2 linked regions of the Caenorhabditis elegans genome follow. The protein of the gene in region 2 purifies or fractionates together with the protein of the main gene of each other region. This does not show direct contact. Each region holds a gene or a part of one and is shown on either strand. Other genes may lie near its edges. The genes, in order: kin-2 and aka-1.

Region 1 (10,649 bases), on a different chromosome or scaffold from region 2:
TCAATGTTTTCCTACACATCAAACTTTTTTGCCATTAGGAAATTACTTTCAATAAATCATAGGATAATGGGAACTGACAGGACAATATATAAATTTGCAATGCACAAAAATCACTGCAGATTATTTTATTTTGACGTGTTAAAAATGAATCCACTTGCCTAAAATGACCCGGTATCACAATGAAGCACTTCAATTTTTTAAAATTTCCAGTCGAAATTGTGGTATGCCACCAACATTTTCAAACATGTAACCTCTTGAGTAATGTTTCCTTTAATTTCTGAAAAATATATGTAAACTAATTTTGAATAAAATCCTTGGTCACACCTTTTTAGTAGAAAGTTGGGATTTTCAAGTTTCACGTTACTGCAAAAATGTTGCTCTATTCCAATTTATTTTTGTTCAACATATTATATCAGCCAACTATATATTTTCATAATTCAAATAACACCAACTTCCAAATTTTATTAGTCCAATAAACCTCTAAGATTACATTATAGATAGTTTATAACATACTGTTTTTTGTGTGTGTGTGCGCGGGGGAAACCGACAAAAAGTTTGGATAACAGAAATCTAGTGGAAAATGTGGTGGAGAAATGAAAAAAAAGAGACAAGAAAACATTGAGATGGCGACATGACAGCGGATTTCCAATGAATGTGAAAAATATATAAAAATGAAAAAAAAAAGAAGTTGGATGTTGAGGGAAGGGGGTGTAGATAAGAGACTTCGCAATGCTGGATAAGGGTGACGGAGTTCAGAATTCAGAAGTGGAACGAAATAAGAAAAAAATGTGTGCTGGGTAGGGGGGGGGGGGGACGATTGTTGTGGATGCGCATTTCTTATTTCTCATAAAATTATATGTTACATATTATTAAAGACAAGATTTGGCATTCACTGCTTAATGTTAATTAATGAAGAATGGTGTTCGTTTCTTCTTTGAGTTAACCTATAGGAATTGAAGGAAATGGTTGGTAAAGATTGAGCTGTAAAGCTACTGAAAATGTTGAAATTTTAGGGTGGAATAGAAAACATGCAAAACTGTTTTTTTTGTTACACAGGGAATAAAAACTAAAACTATTCTAGTTGAACATTTTTTTAGCTTTTTCACGAGGAGTTTCAAATAGTTTTCTGCAAACTTCTGACTAGGATTTTGGGCTGGTTAAAACAATGAATGTTGTTTTGGCTATGAGTTAGAAATTTAGACATTTAGAATTTAATTTGACATCGACTGACTAGAAATGAAGATAGGGAACGAATTGATTGGGGGGGGGGAGCTTGAAGATGTCACGGTTGGTGAGAGAAGAAGGTTACAGGTCTAGACAGTATGCAGAATAATAGAAAATCCAAAAAAATACAGGAAAAAATACAATACTAAAAAAAAACTAAGGAAGAATTTTTGGGATACTTTCAAAAAATAGTTACGAGTACTTTGGCGAAAAGGTGGAAAAGAAGATACGGTGATGAGGAAGATGCGGGGCAAACGGATTGTAATCCGATTAGGTCATCAGTTTGACGTATGAGTTGTAGTTTGAAACGTCTCTCTTCAGGATCTCACGAACTGGTCCCATGACACGTTCGAAGCGGTTACGATCCAGCTTGATGCACTTGAGATGGGTTTTGGCAACAACGGTGGCGGCACGTGGGCGGTCGAGAAGAAGAGCGATTTCTCCTGAAATTGTGACATTGAAATAAAGCTTTCATTCAGGCGTCGACAAGGGTCGCGACCCACGCCTACTGATTAGTGCGGTTCAAAAATCAAAACGTGTCGGGCTCTGGTGCAAACACCAGGGTTTTGATTTAACACCAAAATGCAAAGCGACGTCATTCCCTGAAACCGCGCCTGCATTTCATGAAAAGCCTACATTGATATATGAAGTGTCACAAAAATCTTGTCTAGAGTTATATTTCAATAAAAAAAATGTTTGCATTTATTGAATCACCCGCATATTGCCAAATACAATTAGTTTTTTGATCTTTCCATGTTTGTTCATTTTTTTTCCAATTTTTCTCTTTTTTTCTGATTATTGCTCACCGAAATAGTCCGACATTCCAAGATGTCCGACAACGTCGAATGGTGCGTCGTCGCTTCTCTTCTGCAACACATTGGCTTCTCCCTCGAGAATGATGAAGAATTCGTCTCCGGGTTGTCCTTGCTCGACGACATGAGTTCCTGGCTCGAAGTCGCATCTCTCAAGAGCATCAGCCACGTTAGCGCGCTCCCACTGGTCGAGATCGGCTGAAAGATGATTGATGAGTCTCGGCTTAAGTTCATTTTTCTTCTCTGGTTCTTCAATTTACTTACCCAAGATTTGAACCTTGGAGAGGAACTCGTCATACATCTTTCTCTTCTTTGTTACTGATCCCATCAAGATACGACGGTAGGTGAGACGGTCGATGGCCCACAATTTCACGTCGGTCTGGAAGAAAATATATAAAATGAATTTGAGTGGCATTTTGCCACCTTGGCAATGACGGTTGCAGCACGTGGAGTTCCATAGATCAAAGCAAGTTCTCCAAATGATCCACCCTCGTTGATGGTGAGAACGTACTCGTGATTGACGTAGACATCAACGGTCTTAAATATGAAAGTACGGATAAGCTCTTAGAGAGAAGCAACTCACTCCCTTATCAATAACATAGAAGTTATCTCCTTCTTCTCCCTGTTCGATGATGGTCTCTCCAGCAGACTTCTCAACTGGGAACATGGCATCGTACATGGTTTTTTGCTCATCCTCCTAAAAACCAAAAAATTGAATAAAAATTTAATGTTATTAGAAATTTTTTTGGGAATTTATTCACCTCCAAATGAGCAAAGAGCAAGTTCTTCCTCATGGCTGACTCAAGCGACCTTCTTGTAGCATCATCCTTTGGAATCACAACCTTCTTGTACTCGGTATCGTCCTCCTTGATTGGTTCGGCAGAGATTCCGGTTCTGCGTCCACCTGATCTCTTTGGTGGCTCCACAATGATGTCGTCATCATCAGCAGCGTCCGGATTTCCTCCTTCCTGAAATGTTAAGATTTGATAAGGAAAGTTTGAAAATAAAAGATGTGCAAAATAACAAACCATTTTGGAATTTTCCTGTTTCAGTTAGTTCAGCGACGGAAAAAATGAATGAAAAATCAAAATATAAAATGACCAGAACCAGTTCAGTCAATTACTGACCCTCTGCTATTTTTTTTTTGTTTCGACAAAACGTTAACCTTGAGGTTGGAAATTGTAAATCGGGAATCGTATTAAGTGGGCCACCAGGTAATGTAAATTATGTTACGCCGCAAACTTACTTGTTTCTGTTTAGCAACAGGGCAACCGTCTCCGCCTGTCTATTTGCGCAATAAAAACAACACAGCAGAAAGTAAATACACCCACTCGCTCACTCACCCGGTACATGTTCAACTCCATTTTTAAGGTGTGAACCACTGAATTGAAAATGGATTGGAAGAATTTTTCAATGGAAAGAAGCAAGAAGAAAAACGCAAGGAAATATGAAGTGCGGTGCACACTGAGCCAATCTATCGCCGAGCGAGCTGCCGCGCCGTCTAATGTGCTTCAAATGCGTACTCGTAGCTCTCGCAAGTCTCTTCGTCCTACAATTTTGCTAGTGCTCCATCAAGGTTCCAGCGCTTCCCCTTTTTTCATTTCATTCCACGCCGCTCATCATTCATCCGTCGTGACTGAGATTCGATCATACTAGCAGACACCTGGTTACTTTTGTTTCTGTTGTGCAAAACAATTTCTTATTTTTGAGGTCTCCCTTTATTTTTGTTTTTTTTTATTTCTAGAAGTTTGCAGAATCCGTTTAAAATTGCCTAAAAAGATCAGGTTTTGAACAGTTCAAATTTCTAACTTGATTTTTTCAAGAAATTTTATTAAATGTGATGTTTGAAAACATAGAAGCCATTCTAATCAGAGAATTAATTCGAACTACGCATGAAATCCAAAAATCCATAAGAAAAAAGTGATTATCCTCTCAAAAAACTATCACCTTAGGCTTTGGAGTCTTTGCGTTTTTTGTGGCGCCCACAGATTGCGAGTTTCGTCGGTTGCTCAATTGCTGCCCCATCACATTCCTTGGTGGTGATACTCTGACAATATTGATTAATAACTTGGTTAAAAGAATAAGAAAAAGTCTATGTAGGTGAAAAAAGAGGAATGTAACGGCAATTTTCTAAGAAGCAGATGTTTTGGAATAAAACATATCCATGGAAACCAGAGTTGTGGTGAGCAGTCAAATAAATATTTGAAAAAACAAACACTATGACTATTGTAAATGAAGGAACACGTCAGGAGGCAAATAAGGCAATTGTGTGTGCGTCGAACTTTCAACTACAACAACTATGACAAAACATTGAGTAGTATGTTGTAGTTGGAGGTAGAATGAGAAGGCTAAAAACAAGACGAAAATCAAAATCGGACCGGGTTTCCACATGAGACCTAATTGAAGGCGTGTGAATGTTTTTCTTGCTGTGGTAGCGCAAAATGAACGAAACAGAAAGAGGGAGAGGAAAGGACGGAAGAGGAAAAAGTAAGAATGTCAATATCTGAAAGAGCTTTGCCAGTTGTATTTAGTAGGTGGAGGGCACAACGACTTCATGCATTTTTGTCTCAAGCAACCGGCAATTTACTATAGCAGCCGCAACATTTAGACAGAAAATAAATAGTCTCGAATTGTTCCTCTATTCTTACTCATGTTGTTTTATGAAACAACAAAAAAAAATTCAATTTCAGTATTTCTAAGAGTAACTATTTAATTTCTGATTTGTCGCATCGAAGTTAATTTACGATGAGTGTATTGTGCTCACAGAGAGTATTATGCACACATTGAGAAATATCCAATAAATGACAAATTCCCTATCTTAAAAATCTGCCACGTTATTCTTAGAATTCATAAAAGTTTCTGTGGTACAGAAAATAAAAATCAGCTGATTTTATAGAAAATGACACAATGATAACGTTCGAGGCATTTTTTACGTGGAGAAAAACAAAGAGAATGGTATGACTAATATTTCAATTCGTTTGAAAAAAAAACCCATTTTACTAGTTTTCGAACATATTCAATAAAACCTCGTAAAAAACGAGCTATTTATTCGAATAGTTTTTCTCTCAAAAATCAATAAAGTCATTTAGCATCAGAAAAGCGTGACTCTTTTCATTCTCTCCATTTAACTTGGCATCGTTCTCTATCTCTGAGGCGGTCATAAAAACACTCGGCCGGATAGAAGCTGCCTTCGGGGCAAATTTTATTCGATTATTGAATTTGACAGACAAATATAACGAAAACGAGGCGGAGAGAAGATAGAAAATATCGGAGTATGCACTTCCTAGTTTTTCGAAAATAAAAGTTGTAAAACTTTAAAAATGAAAAAAAAATTGTGTATCAGCATTTGCCAAAAAATTTTCATAAACGAGTGTTTAAAATAAACTATTTTTCTGGGGAAGCGGTTGGAAAGAAGAGAGAACATAAAAGATCGATAAACGTCCGAACAGTATGCAAAAGAAATATGTTGAGAGACGCAGGAAATGGAAGGTACGCACACTTTATGGTCCTTTAGTGAATGGCATTGGCAAATTTAGTATGTTAAATTTCAAAACTTAGTTTTCCATTTCAAAATTAATATTTCTATTTACAATTTCAAAAAAAAATACAAACGTTCAAATTTTTCAATAGAAATTTAAACACACTTTTTTAATGACCACATTCCAAAAAACCGCCCCAATTCGATTTTGATAAGCTGTGTCTAAAACTGAAACACATGTGTACAAAAAAAGACATAAAAATTGGAGTGTGAAAAGTGGACTCGAGTGTTTTAGTTTTATTGTGTTTTTTTGAATGTTCCCAAATTGAAATTCTAGAGCTCCGAACTTTTTGTGTTGTTTTTCATCATATATATATATATATATATATAATCGTTTCGAGAACCTTTTCAGAATGTTGCAAGTAACGATGACGTCATAAAAAGTTTGTAATACCTTATATTTCCTGGATTATGACTAATGTTGTTTTTTGTTTGAAGCGTTTAAAATTTGTGACAGAAAAAAAAGCAAAATGTTTTGGAATTTTAAAAATTAGGTGTCAGAGAAAAAAAAAGGTTAAATCTAGAATTTCACATCTTCAAAGAACGTGACAATGATGTTTGGTTCGTCGTCACTGTTACTGTTTCCTCTTCCCTTTCTTTCACCTGACCTCCTAAAGATTTATGACTAGTCTTTTGACTTTTGTTATTTTTGTGAAAATACTACCTACTTCAATTATTTTCGAAACAAAAATTCCAGACACAAAATGCGAGGGTGTTGAAAAAACAACGGAGAACAAAAAGCATGGAGCATTAAGGAGCGGCAGAAGGAGAAGAAAAATGCGATCGTCCGAAGAGCAACGAAGAGCAAGAGAAATCTGCCCCGAGGCCTTCTTCATTCTTCGTCACTTTCTCTCCGCTTCACAAACCGGACCCGAAAAAAAGGGAAAAGAGCTCGGCAGCTGAGCCAATGGCTGCGGGCGCTCGATGCTCGATGGACAGCTCTGGAGGGCTCATTGGGACTCGTCTCAAAGGGCCCATTCTCTCAATTCTCTTCGTTTTCGTTACGCCTTATCCGCTCTCTTTCATCCTTTCGTTTTCCCAGCTAACTAGTGCCTCTTTTTCTTCTTCCTCTTCTTCTTTTTCTTCTCTTTCTCCAGAGGACCCCGACGGAAAAACGACATACACAAGGCTTGCTTTCTATGAAAAAAAGAAGCAACACAAGACGAAAAAAAAAACGAAGTGAAGCTTCATTTTCATTGATTCGAGCCATAAACGCGGAGGAATGACGAAAAAGACACAGGAAGATGTTTGACCTAATTTGCATTTTCCAGTTTTTTCTCAAGCTTTTTTTTGCAGTGCATCTCATTAAAAACAAGATCGAAACAAAAAATCATGACGCTTGGCTCCCACAAAACCGGATAAAATATTCAAATATTTGAAGCGAGTCAAACGAGATTTTCGATGCCTCAAAAACTTGGTACTATGAATGAGAATAAAATAACAAATTTCACTGATCTAGAACAATGATATAATTATAAAGCTATGTGAATTTCAAATTTGAAAGTCTGAAACCGAGTTTCATGGTTCAGAAAACACGAACAATTAAATAAAAATCCTGAAGAATTGTAAAACCCCCATCACAAATTGTACTCAAAACGTTATAATACGCTTATGCAACACTACGTTTTCCGATAAGAAGAACCGTTTCAAAACGCAACAATTAACTTTTTTGGCGTACCACGTCAATACTCTTTCAGTGTCAGCAAATTTGAATACTTTTTCTGGTCATAATTTCGAACTGGTTCTGTCATTCTTCTCACTTTTATGTTGAAAATATTTTTTTTTTCAATTTCTAAATTCTCTGCAACTCAACTAACCTGTGCTCGTTGTTCGTTGAGTTTTTCAAAATGATCCTTCAAGAAGAGAACCGGGTTGTCGGGTTTGTGTATGCACAGAACAACTGGAAAAATCGTATTCTTACTTTCGTGTTATTATTTTGCTAGATTTTCAAAAACTCACCAATTGCTTCTTTGACAAGCTGCTGAATGTTGTGTCGTTGCACATAGGCCTGGCATTGTGCCAACTGATCCTCTTCGTTTCCACCCGACATAAAAACAATGTCACCTGAATAATTGTTCATAATTTTCAGTCATTTCTTGTTTTAAACAAACAAAAGAGACAAAAATGCGAGAAAAATAGCAGAAAACACACGTTTGAAATGAGATGAAAACTTGGTGGGGAAGGTAACAGACTTTTGACGGGGGATGCCGCGGAAAAGAGCGAGATGAGCGGTTACCGAATGAATGCTGATACACCCGCCAGTGTACAACATTTTGGAAAATCTTGGCACACAGCCTTCCCAGTAGATCAAAGCAGAATTGAGCAGCAAAAAAAGGAAGAAAAAGTGGAGAAGAAGGAAAAAACAGAGAGGAGGAGCAAGAAAAGAAAATTGATACCCAAACTTGGTTGAGCGAGAGAACGAGAAAAGAGAGAAAAGAAAAAGAGAAAAAGAGAAAAATCAGATAATTGATTTGTTGAAATTTGAAGACAAGTTCAGTTCATCACTTTGATCACACAGATGGTCGGAAAGTAAATATGATGATTGATGGTGATAATTAGCAGAATGAAAAACGTCGTCGCGCAAGTACTGAGACCGGAAACTATAATTTAAAGATAAAGGGAATTTCCTCTTTTGATAGGAGATCAACGGTTACAATATGTCGCGGAAACGGACGAATTTGATTTGAGATTTTTTTGTTTAATTCATATAGAGTTACAAGCAGCTACAAATGTATAGAAATAATTTTGATGTATACGGTTTTGAATTGTTTGCATGTATAGACTCGAAATGTACTCAAATGAACTTCTCAAAAAATAAATAAGCTATTCCGTTCGAGGGGGCGTTTAAAATTTGGGAAACACTTTTCTGCGTTGCAAATTAACTGCATTAAAGTATCATTTGTATTGCATATTTTTATAATTTATCTCACGTTTTTTTGTTAATAAGGGTGCATTTAAAGTTGATAGGTTACCAAACATAATTGAAATTCAGTACTTATCGGCTTTTAACACACTTGAATCAACTAAATAATGTGAACCAAACAATCAATAAAAATGATAATTCCATTAAAAAATATATATATAATTTTCATTCTCTGCAACTTGGAAACTTTAGCAAAACTGGTGAATCTATCAATTGTTGGTCTTTTTTGAATTTCGAATGCTAATTCGAGCCCATTTTAAGTACAAGCAAAAAACAGCAATTATTTGTTGTTCAAACCCTATTTTTTAGAAAATGCATTTAATACCTACGAATGCTAACTTTTCTCTCGCCTCTTCCCCCTCCCTATGCGGTTTCTAGGCGGGTTTGTAAACCTTTTTGCATGCGAGAGAAACAAGTGATGATAATAAACTAAACTAAACGTTCAGAAATCAATATCACAATGTGAAAATGTGAAAATGACCTATCGATGAAATCGAGGGTGTCTTCATGTTATCGCCCAATTACAACGGGGCATTTCCCCTCGGACTCTTGCTCTACACCACCCGTGGCCTTTGGTCTTTGGCATATGACGTAAATTGAAATAGGAACAGGGAGAACTGAACAATATTTTTTATCCTATTGCATGCTGGTAATCAAGTTAGCATACCAGCCGACTCTCAGCTTATCTTTAATCCATATAGGCTAATCTGTCGGATTTTTGGTACAAAAATGTAAAAGTTTTGTTGGATAAAAAGCAACGTTTCTATATTATACGGAACGCATCAAACGGGACAAAAAACTGAGAAATCGCGAAAAAGCAAAGCAAAAAGGAGAAGGAGCCCTATGAATCATGGAAGAAGCGTGAGGAGACAGAGGCAGGGACAACGACAACGACGACGCCCGGGGAAATTGTTTTTTTTTTTCGGCGTCTTCTTCGTGGAGCGCCCACCCGTTTTTTAGGTCTCAGGAGACCCTCTGCCTGTGACAGAAAAGAGGAATGTTTGAATTAGGTAGTTTTATAAGAAACCGCCCAGCGCCCATAAATTCTTTCTTTTAATCACTTCTCAATCAAAAACTCTCAATGTCAAAATCGTTATAAAAATTATTTTTCTAATCAATCTTCTAATTTCCAAATTACTATAATAAATTTTGTTTGATTTTATGATGGATACGTCTTGGAAAAAAGTATTGTGAAGATAAATACAACCCGCATGACATTATTACAGAAAAAAAACGTATAGTGTGTTGTGAATGTGAGTCATGTTGTTGTATTGATACAACTTTACAACAAAAACTGTTATTCAGAAATATAATTTTTTTCGGGCTTTTATTTTTGGAAAAATCAAGAAGTCTTGCAAAAATACATTTTTTAAATGATATATCTCACAAAAACATTTTTAGGTGGAGTACAGACAGTGGGGAGATAAAAAATGAAACAATTTAAAATCAATAACGCTAAAATGACTAAATATCATAATAAAATATATTTAAAAATAAACCTTTGCAAGTTTTTTTCGAGTCAAAAAGCAGTGGAATCTTTTGCCCCACTTTTAATTATTATAATAATATCTTTTAAAAATCTCAGTGATTTCTTCGTAATATATAGTTTTAATGTTTTTGCCATAATTAAAACGGTACTTGTGTATTATTTCCCCTCATTGTTTTGAACCACTTTGTATCAAAATGAATGAATAAACAGAAGTGTAATTAATTTTAAAAATGAGAGGAAATAATTTCAAAATTTTTAGAAAGGTTGTATTTTACATTTGAATACAAAAACAAACAGTCTAATATAGAATATTACGTGAGCACAGAGAACATGGATCATAATTAGCAACGATTTCACTTGACAACTTGTACCCCGAGACTGCTACATATTTAAAAATGATCGTATTATCTATGTAGACCGAACAAAAACAACGCAGAAAAAAAAACGGAAATCGATTCGAATTCACACTGCAGACTTTGCGACAGACTTTATGCGTGCGGGGTCTCGAGTAACCCTCTTCATCTCTCTGCGGGTTTCTGACGTTGCCCAAAAAATTTTGCATATTTTATGAACTGCTGCTGGCTTGCATTGCCACTGGCTACACCTACATGTTAGATTGAACAAAAAATGTGACGGTTTGCAGAACTATATGGTATGTATTGC
Region 2 (10,667 bases):
TAGAATTATATCTTAAACCCTATTTGAATTATATCTTCCTTAATTGACCCACTATTACCTTCGTATTGATTGAGAGGGTTTTTACACCAACACCAAGGAACTTTAATACCATCTTCTATTGTTCTTTACTGTATTTCCCTCCTTTTACTTGTTTTATTCTATTTAGAGTCCTGCGTGACCCACACGGGCGCGGTTGTATAATAAATAGGTTTTTGAGTAATCACTTGTTCGTCTTATTCCGTTCTTACACATAATTCAGATGATTTACTGGGACACACGGGGAGAGAGGGCGAGGTACTGGAGACGTGATCGACACCGACTACATACATTCTACACGGCCTCAACAGTATTTGAGCATTCATATATTAACGTGAGATACCCATTGGCGCTATTATGCTATGAGAATACGTATTCCGCAACACATTTGACGCGCAAAATATCTAGTAGCGAAAACTACAGTAATTCGTTAAAAGACTACTGTAGTGTCGATTTACTGGCTAGTTTTTGAAATATAAATTAAAACAAATTTTTTACTGATCATTGATTTATCAATAGAGTATTAAAATTTAGAAAAAAATGAGAAAATTCATTTCAAAAATCGAGATCCCGTAGATCGACACAAGCTCTACAGTAGTCATTAGAAGAGTTACTGTAGTTTTCGCTACAAGATATTTTGCGCGTCAAATATGTTGTGGAATATGCATTCTCAGAGTTTTGTGTTGCCGTAATACTCCACCTTCATTGAAATGTGTGGTATGGTGATAATCGTAAGATAATTATTGTAGAAATGTCTCAAGAGCGTGTTCACATCATACCTAGACCGCCGCCTGGATACCAAACTGTGGTAAAAATCAGAAAACGATTTCAAGACAATCCTATGTCATTGGAACTTTCAATCTCGGAAGAACCAATCGACTCACAAGTTTTGGATGTAAGTTTTGCATGCCTCAGATACTCCGTTTAAACACTTAGAAATTCTTTTTTATGATCAATACCCTCAAAACAAAAACCAAACTTTCGCTAACAAGTGTATTTATCTAATCTACATAAGATTCCAATTTAGGTCAACACGTCGTCGTCCACCATCACTGCTCGTTGCCCGAGTCCGCGTGTTGGATCAGTGGCTCGACCAACACGAACATGAAGACGTCCAAAGCAGTTGATCATGGATCCAAGCCGGAAAAAATATGAAATCGCATAATGTTAATAAAAATTGAGTTATTTGTACTGTGTTGTGACATTTATTTATTTTCGGCCTTGAGCACTTATTTCATATATGTCGTTTCTACTTCGCTTTGCCTTTTGGAAGATGGTCAATGCCAATTGGAATGTGCATGCATTTGAGTATATGAACAAAACGGTGGTTTCAATTGGAGAACTGCTTCTTCTTCTATAAATCATCATTATGCAAAACATTGAAAATTAATGGGATGCGGAAAGAGAAATCAAGGGGGTGAAACGGAAGGATTTAAATTACAAGTTAACTCCGCGACTAATCAAATAATAATTGAAAATCCTCCGAGAAGAAAATCGATCATGATTAGTATAAAATGTGTTAGAAGTGAGATGGAGTGTTTTGGGGACTACAAGAAAAATGGAATAAGTATCACAGGATTTGGATACACGAATAAGCGTTGAGAATGTCTAAAGAGAGACTAGTAAAAATGGATGCATTCTACAAAAAAAAGGTTAAAAGTGGGTGATTGCACATTGTAATGAAATATATGGAAATCTCTTAGGAAAATGGGCAACAGAAAAATGTTTCAATTTGGATCGAAAGGTTTCAGATTGGAAGAGCTCTTGTAGACACAATTGAGAGTACGAATTCGACTTCAAAACCATTTGGAACATACTCTACCATATTGTACAACATTGGAATAAGCTGAAAATCAATGGGTTCTGGTCTGAGCATAAATTAAAAATATACCTGATCAAGACTTTGCTTGTATTTGTCATTTTCGGCTTCTAACCCGAGCCATTTCGAAACATCGTACTCGAACTCATACGGCGAAACGAATAAACGAATAGAAACGCTTCTGAAAATATCAGAAATCACGGAACAAGTTTTTTGTCTCAAAATTCTTACCCAATACCAGCACAAATTAAATGTTGAATATGTGGCTCAAGCATTGCAACGCATTCCCTCGCAGCAATTTCAATCATTCTGAAAATAGAAGAACATAGTTTAAAATAAAATATTACTGATTACCCATAAATTTTAGGTTCTTCCTCAGGCTGAAGTCTACCATCACCGAGATTATAAACATGTGACATTCTGATTCCATAATCATTTATTCCCTGAACTTGTAGAACTTGCGTCAGAGCTCTTTCGAGAGACAATCCATATTGAAATTTGTTCTGAAAATTGGAATTGAATGAATATTTGAACATGAGATCCAGATCCTTACAATGAGATAGAGGCCGTCTATCTGCGATTTTGGATAATAATCACTGTCTGTACAAATCCAGTTACCGTCTTCGACAAACTCGACACGAAATTCCATATCTTTAGATGATTCAACTGCATCGTTTCCATCGTTAATTGCATTTAAAATAGTTTCCAATCGCTCGCTTTGAAGTCTTACAGCAACACCATCCTCAACAACATTTACTTGAAGTGAACTGACTTTCGATCCACCATCGAGAATTACAAATGATGCACTTGTAGCTACAAAAACGAAATTTAAGAACTTTTCTTATTAGTAAGAAACTTACATTCTCTTTGTCCAATATTTTTGGCAAACACTTGAGTCGAATAAAGCCCTGGGTCAGTTTCCTCACAAACCTTAAGCAATGAAATTATTCCGATAGTAAATTATAAAAATCCTCTTACAAGTACACTATCATCTTCGCAATGCAAATCACAACTCCAAGCGACCATTGAACGACTAAAGTTTAGAACATCTTTTAACTGAAAACAATTTTTTAAAATATTTTTCAAACTTTTGCTAATAAACCTCTTTAATTGCCGATTTTGGAATTCTGATTACAGTTTTATCATTTGTCAACGAGACTGTACATCCAGAAATGTGACGCATTCTATAAGACCAAGACCGGAAGTCAGTGAACACCTTCAATACAGTTCCGGATACATCAGTGCTGTATGTAGATTCACGGCCAATACTATTGACAAACGGTGTTGGGAATACTGAAATTTTTAAAAATTATAAAATTATATAAACAAAAATATCAATGTTACTTACCATTGAACTTCTCGCCGAGTTTATACAATAAACGATTAGGAAGAGCTGTCGCCCAATTGAGTTCATCATCGTGCAGGAAACAAGCAATCAGAAATGGATTTGTGGGAATTCGCATATTCTTGAGACCAACTTGTACAGTAGGCCGGAAAAACATAATGTGTTTAGTTAATGGATAAGTTGGATCTGTAACAGAATGCACACGCATCAGACGATTTTCAACCTTTCTGACACCAGCGTATTCATGTTCGGTGGATTGAGTGTAGATCTGTAATGCAAGCGAATTTATTTTAATTTTATAGTGATTTTTTGTTGATTAATTCTGGTTTTAATTCCTAAACCAATTAGCTAACTTTTATAAAAAATATAGCGTCTTTTTTGAGGCAGCGTTTAGAGTTTTTTTAAAAATTAAAATTGTTTTTCAGTAAAAAAGTTATTTTTCGCATTAGAAAGGGATAAAAAATTCTGATTAACCCAAAAACTGATAAATTTTATATTTCTTTCACAAAACTACATTCGAATTTATAAAAAAGGTGCAAGAGGCACCACGTTTTCAAGATCTGTTCAAAAACAAGATCTACGAAAACAAGATCCACCAAAACAAGATCTACATTTTCAAGATCTACCAAAACAAGATCTACGTTTTCAGGATCTGGCACCGTGCCAACTGCGATTTTCTCGAAGAAAACGAAACAACGATGCTCCGATGTTACGCGTCGCGTGTTGTTTAGCGTTCAAACGAATATTTTTTGAAATTTTCTTCTAGAATTTACGCTTAGCAACACGCGACGCGTACGCGCGCGTAGAGAAAACCGCAGTTGGCACGGTGCCAGATCCTGAAAACGTAGATCTTGTTTTGGTAGATCTTGAAAATGTAGATCTTGTTTTGGTGGATCTTGTTTTCGTAGATCTTGTTTTTGAACAGATCTTGAAAACGTGGTGCCTCAGGTGCAATTTTGATGAAGAAGCTTAGGTTTTTCAAAATAACGCTACAATCTTACAAAATTTTTCATTTCCGCTTCGTATTTTTTTATTTTTTCGTTTTCGAAATTTAGATCATGCAAATAATAATACTCACCAATGATATACGATGTAGAACTGGGAGAGGTAAAACTACCAATGCAGATTTTTCATCAAGTTCGGGTTCTTCTGCATCAACTTTTTGTTTTTCTTGATCGTTCAAAGTCCATGAAAACATCAATTCGTCGAGTCCAATTTGAGCGAAACCTTGCGTTGATACAGCCCAGACGAGACCGAAGTTAGGATCTGGAAAAATAAACCTTATTTGCAAAAAAAAACATTAAAATGTATTCTTACTGTTAAAAATTTGTACAGTGCAATTCAAATTTTTTTTGAGAACGACAGTGACGACGGAAAAATTGCAAAGTGTTTCAAGAACAGTGGATGCGTCTTCGAATTTCGGATGTTCACAATCAGGTTTCACAATTAATAATTTAGTTATTCCTTCTTTCGGAAGTGCACAAGCCAGTTCATCCTCCATCCGTAATTCTGCTATTCTTCTGACTACTGATGTCCGTTTCCTTGACTTCTAAAACCATTCGTTCATTGGCATAATCTAACATAATTCACAAACCTTTTTTGGTTTAAGTGCAGTTGATCGTTCTTCTTCTGGATTTCCTTCATCGGCAGGTGCACCTGGACGGACTCCATCCCTAAACATTACCGATCTTCTTGAAGAATCTGACACATTTCCCGATGTCGAGTGAGCTTGACTACTTGTTGATGCACCATCTTCTTCATTAACATGTACCGTCGGTTTGGTTTTCAGTACACCGCGAGGAATTGAGGTGGAAGCAGCTGGAATAGAACTGATCGTTTCATCTCCACTCAACCCATTTTCAGAAGCGATTGATTCTCTCCGTCTCTGTTCATCTTGCTCATGGGTTTCAATTCTGGCAAGCATTGCAGAACATGGTTTACATACTCGCACAGCTTGCAGCTTTTTGCCTTCTTCTTGAAGATATTCCAGGAAAGCTTTTTCGTTGCAACAAGAACCACAGAGAACGCGTCCGCATGCACGACAGTGATGGCGTCTAGTAATAATTGTGAACCTGAAAAAAATACAAACTAGAGGCCTATTCCTAATAAATTATTGCCTTGTATTGCACAGCATACAATTTGGGCATTCAGAATCTGGAATCCAATACGGTGATGTTTTTCCGAGTTGTAATTCTGATTCGGTGAGTCTCCTTTCTCTTCGTGGCGTTGCTGATTCGTCTGAGTCAGACTCGTGAAGAACGTGAATGGTGGCTATGGAAGACTGAAACAATTGAAATTATTCTGGATGTATATTTGTGTACAAACATCAAAGCGTGGACGATTCTCAGTATTTTCCTCGTCGTTCTCCTCGATTGAGGAATCCGTGTTTTCATTGACAGCATCTACTACTGTGCATTCATCTTCAACATGTTCAACATTTTCTAACACTTCTTCGTTGTTTACTGATGCTTCTGATTGAGAACCTTCATCGGGAAACTGTAAAAAGTAATTAATTAAATCTACTTAATAAACACTCTTGACTAACTTCATCTGAATTTTTATTTGTTGATGAGTCGGCAGTTTCTGGTGACAATGTTTCCTGATCTTCAGTTTCCAAGTGAATCTCCGAATCATCTACGACTGATTGCTCAGCAACTAAATGTGCAGTCGAGGCTTCATTCATTTTCTCATTCACAAAAGAAGATTCAGAACCATTCTCGATTACAACATCAGATTCTAAATGGTCTTCGATATTCTCAAGAACAGTTCCGCTGGTTGAGTTAGACTCTGGAACATCTTCTGACTCATTTTGCACAATCGCCTCAGAGTTTTCAATAAATTCAACATCGATTTTCTCGTTTTGAAGGTTCTTCTCTGTTTCCGAAGAGCTTTGTGTCGGTTCTTCACTAGCTTCATTTTCTTCCGCTACAGATTGCATTCGTTCTTTCTTAGAAGAATTTTCCGGCTCAGAAAGATAATTGTGATTATCTGCGTTGAAAGAATTAAGAGAAGAATGAGTACTATCGAGACTCATTGCAAATACATCGGGCACTGAATCATTTGCTTCGTAAAATTCTTTAACAGCAGGATCATAATGCATTTTCCGATGATTCAAAGCCTCGGAAATTACCAGTTCGGAGAAACGATCAGCAAATTGATAAAGTGCTGATTCATTTGCTGACTCTTCGATGGAATCACGTCCTCCTTCCTCTCTCGCAGGTTTATCTTTCAAACTCGACTTATCGACGCTCTCGTCATTTAGGTATGCCAGCATATCTTCCATTTCGGTATCTAAATCGAGATTTGGTTTTGATATTGTGGCAGTAGGCTCCGTGTCTCTTGCAGTGGCGTTGAGATTTGAAATAATTTGTGTTTCCGGAACAAGAGTATCCTGAAAAATTATATTTATAATTTATTTCCGTTTATAATAAATTACATACCTCTTCTACTTCTGATACTTCTTCAGGTTCTGGTTCTGGCTCAGACTCTGGTTCTGATTCTTGAGAAAATTTTTGTGTTATGACTTTTTTGGAAGGATCGAAATTTGTCGCGTCGGAATAATTATGAACAGATTTGAGCTTGTGAGCAATTTCTTGACGTGCCGAAACTTCATTCTCTTTTCCTATATTTCTTTCATCTGAATTAGGCGGAAAACTTGATTTAGTTTGAAATGTGTTTGGAAGCTGTGAAGTGTCAATATTGATGTTGCCCTGGAAACAAATGTGTAATTGTAAGATAAAACAAGTGCAGGGAGATCTTACTTCCATCTGTTCATTCATATCCTCACTAATCACAAATTTTGAAACGGTTACGACAGTTCTTGGAGCCGGATTGTGTTTTATGCCACGTGGTTGCATTCCTATCGATGTTGGTGGCAAGAGAGGTTTTGATTGAACACTGCAACATTTCTTGACCAAGTCTGACTCCATTTCGTCGAGAAGGTCGTCCATGTCAGGTACTTCCTCCATTGTGACTGCAAGAATATTATTGAAAAAATAACACGGATATTCAAGTCAATGTTAAAATCATTATGAAACCGAAAAAATTGTCGTATGAAAGTTCATGCGGAGGAAAATGTTTTTGCGAAGAGAAAATCAATATCCAGCGTTTTAGAAATATGATTTAAGCAAGGATAGCGTTTTAGGAATTTCTTCAGAATTAAAAACGGACAGAAAATCGTGTAAAGACTACTTTTACGACGCGGAAGTCTTGTCAACAAGAGAGAAAAGAAAATGCGATCAAGTGGTCGGTTGTCCGCAATTTGGCGTGACGGTGTCTTCTAAAAAGAATGTGTGCAATTTGACGTGACGGTGAACATTCTTTTCAGCTGACGTGAGACCCGAAGAACTCGGGGGATGTCCAACTGGGGGGATTACCAACTCGGGGGATTGGCCCGCCCACAGAACCGTGGCTTGCAATACGCCCATTTCTGCAACTGCCGCACGGTTTTAAAACTGTATTTTTCTCAATAGAGCGAGAATTAACAAGAAAAAAATGATTTTAAAACCGTGCGGCAGTTGCAGAAATGGGCGTATTGCAAGCCACGGTTCTGTGGGCGGGGCCAATCCCCCGAGTTGGTAATACCCCCAATTGGACATCCCCCGAGTTCTTCGGGTCTCGCTGACGTTGGTTTCGGTTTTCCAGTTTTTTTCTCATTTCCGTCTTCATTTATTGTCATTTGACTGAAAGTACGAGAATTTAGAGAATAAAATGAGTGAGCAGTACAACACTAAAAATGCCGGTGAGTCTTTTCAAATTTAGCAACTAAAACAAACGAGTTTGTTTTAAACAAAAGTTCTGATAAACCGATTAAAATGTTTTCCGTTACAGGTGTGCGGAGGCTCATGAAGGAAGCCATGGAACTGCGACAGCCAACGGAAATGTATCATGCACAACCAATGGAAGACAATCTTTTTGAATGGCACTTCACGATTCGTGGTACTCTCGGGACTGACTTTGAAGGCGGAATTTATCATGGTAGAATTATATTTCCAGCAGATTACCCGATGAAACCGCCAAATTTGATACTTCTTACGGTATGTTCAGTTTATTCCTTGCAATTACATAGTCTACACAATTTTTCATTACAGCCTAATGGACGATTTGAGCTAAATAAGAAAGTATGCCTTTCGATTTCGGGATATCACCCAGAAACGTGGCTACCATCTTGGAGCAGTAAGTTTTACAATGGTCTATTCATTTTAAGACTTTTTAATACATTTTGCAGTTCGTACAGCTCTTCTCGCGTTGATTGGATTCCTGCCAAGTACCCCAGGAGGCGCGCTTGGTAGTTTGGATTATCCTCCCAAAGAGCGCCAGCGTTTAGCCAAATTGTGAGTCTCATTTTTTATTTGTTTTTAATCAAGTAGCGTATTTATAGGAGCTGTGAGTGGAAATGTAAAGAATGCGGATGTGTCATGAAAACTGCGCTTCTTCCGATAACTGAAGATGGACAATTAAAACAAACCGAAGAAGCGAAAACTCTTGCTGCCCAACTCAAGTTTCAAGATGAATCTGTTGTTAAAAAAGAAGTTGAAGCAGCCAACAATCAAAAGAACCCGACAGAAACAGAGCCAAGTGAAGAAACAAGCTCGGTCCCAACAGAAAATGTCGAAGAATCAGAAGAAGATGCAGATGAGAGAGAAGAAGGTACTACTGTTAATGTCAATTCATCAGAAGTACCAGATGTCGCACAACCTGCTGTCCAACCCATTCGAGGTACTTGAATTGAAACATTTTGTCTTGAAAATAATTTATATTTTCAGATCCACAACCTCTGGTATTCCAACACCACGCTCCCCGCTTGGCATCAACAAACTTTGACTATACCCTTCTATACAAGATTCCAGTTATCGCTTTGTGTTTCGCTATTTTCTTCACACTATTGGCTCGTCGCTTCCTTGTCGATAATCTAACTTCACCAAAAGACGGTTCCGAGTTGTAAATACATGTATAATATTATTCAATCCCGTTGTACTTTTTCCATTTTCTAAAATCAAACTTCGTGCAATCACTTGCCAGTTATTTCTTGGCTCTCTCCTCTCAGTTAGTATTTAGATTCTAATGAAATTATCACAAAATATTTGAGTATCTTTCTTTGTGATTCTTATTTCTTGAGTTCTTTTTTATTCATAAAATTGGTTTTAACTATTTGTTCAGTCAAAAAATATCACAAAATTCTACAGAAAGAGAGTCAAACACTTCATTTAAAATCGAACCCGTATTTTATAGTTCCAAAGTGTCATTAAATACAGAAATACACAGATCAATAGTTAAATCTTTCGGAGAAAGAATGAGCAAGAACGCGAAGTTTTTCAAAGTGAAAGAAGAGTAGAGAATGTACAGTAATTTACTAAAATGAACCGGCTTTGGAAACATCATCAGGACGAATGCTATCGATTTCGAAAACTTCCGATGTTGGAACATATCTTCGAGAAACCTGTTGAAATAAAATATTAAAATTTATCTGCGACGTGTATCTTACCGAATCATTCCGCTTATTTCTACCAGGATTCGCTTGGTACCCCATTTCCACGTAAACATTCGATGGACAACTTGAAGATACAGTAGACTGCTGAACAATTAACTATATTAAAGATTTGGAAGACCAAGTTTTCTCACTTTTGATCCAACATTTATATTTGTTCTAACGAGACGGCCATTTAACGATTTCAATGGACGATATGCAGGAGTCATATATGATGGTTCTGGTTGTTTTGTTTCTGTTTTTTGCATTTCATTCCAAATTTGAAGCTGAAATGTTTCAATTTATTTCAGCCCTTTGCATTAGATTCATTTATGACTTACATCATCATTGGTTATATAAATTGGATTATTTAAAATAACCCAAGTGACAGTTTCATGACATCCGGGAAAAGTTAAAGATCCTTCGTATGTCACATAGTGAGAGGTTTTTGGTAAAAGTGCAGATGGTTGAAAATCAGTGAGATTTGTAGTCTGGCCTGAAAAATGAATCTAAATTTTAACGCAGTTTGAAAATGCCGTTTGATTTTATGAAATATTTCTTGTTATCGTAATTTGGTAAGGCAATGCTAAAGGCACAGGTTTTTTCCAGTGGGTCCCAGACCACCTTGTCTTTTTTTTTCCGTTCCAAATTTAGCAGTTATATTTTTCACACCAAGATTGAAATAGTATTCATGTAGAACAAACTCTAAAAATATGGTTGCACCATGTTCCAGATGCCAAACAAAAAGGATCTTACACTGTAAACCGGTCATCCGGTATTTTGAGTGAAGATTTTGAGTTTTTCATTTTCAATTATATACTTTCTGTACCATTGAAAAAACACGCACCTTTATAGTTAATGCTCTGTGACGCAACCGTTAATCTTCGTAACTCCACAGATGTAGTCTTTCCAATCTAAATACAAATTTTGACTTTAGAAAAAGTATAAGTACTTACATCAACAATTACAGAAACTGCAAGAAGCCCTCTTGGTGATGTCAT

What was found.
Region 1: the proteins of aka-1 (region 2) and kin-2 purify together in Caenorhabditis elegans (affinity purification with western blotting, with the first as the bait; one study listed by BioGRID). This does not show direct contact.

The regions. Positions count from the first base shown.
Region 1 is NC_003284.9:5,970,201-5,980,849, forward strand, and holds kin-2 (cAMP-dependent protein kinase regulatory subunit), read right to left. Parts: upstream 7,655-10,649; coding exon 7,534-7,654; intron 7,475-7,533; coding exon 7,392-7,474; intron 6,612-7,391; exon of another isoform or gene 6,473-6,611; intron 4,084-6,472; exon of another isoform or gene 4,062-4,083; coding exon of another isoform or gene 3,984-4,061; intron 3,712-3,983; exon of another isoform or gene 3,596-3,711; intron 3,469-3,595; exon of another isoform or gene 3,334-3,468; intron 3,005-3,333; coding exon 2,798-3,004; intron 2,734-2,797; coding exon 2,620-2,733; intron 2,574-2,619; coding exon 2,460-2,573; intron 2,416-2,459; coding exon 2,301-2,415; intron 2,235-2,300; coding exon 2,031-2,234; intron 1,668-2,030; coding exon 1,495-1,667; downstream 1-1,494. UniProt on the Caenorhabditis elegans protein: Controls the rhythmic contraction of enteric muscles probably by regulating G-protein coupled receptor aex-2-mediated calcium influx in GABAergic DVB neurons.
Region 2 is NC_003280.10:7,471,365-7,482,031, forward strand, and holds aka-1 (FYVE-type domain-containing protein), read right to left. Parts: upstream 7,174-10,667; 5' UTR 7,169-7,173; coding exon 6,962-7,168; intron 6,911-6,961; coding exon 6,641-6,910; intron 6,592-6,640; coding exon 5,746-6,591; intron 5,697-5,745; coding exon 5,526-5,696; intron 5,482-5,525; coding exon 5,318-5,481; intron 5,273-5,317; coding exon 4,795-5,272; intron 4,750-4,794; coding exon 4,518-4,749; intron 4,467-4,517; coding exon 4,279-4,466; intron 3,469-4,278; coding exon 3,204-3,468; intron 3,149-3,203; coding exon 2,958-3,148; intron 2,912-2,957; coding exon 2,834-2,911; intron 2,786-2,833; coding exon 2,716-2,785; intron 2,669-2,715; coding exon 2,409-2,668; intron 2,359-2,408; coding exon 2,210-2,358; intron 2,165-2,209; coding exon 2,087-2,164; intron 2,037-2,086; coding exon 1,928-2,036; intron 1,883-1,927; coding exon 1,784-1,882; 3' UTR 1,365-1,783; downstream 1-1,364. Other genes in the region: ubc-6 (UBC core domain-containing protein), read left to right, coding at 7,911-7,941, 8,031-8,236, 8,291-8,375, 8,428-8,533, 8,581-8,918, 8,966-9,144; cah-2 (Putative carbonic anhydrase-like protein 2), read right to left, coding at 9,553-9,639, 9,685-9,774, 9,822-9,953, 10,008-10,162, 10,514-10,580, 10,623-10,667.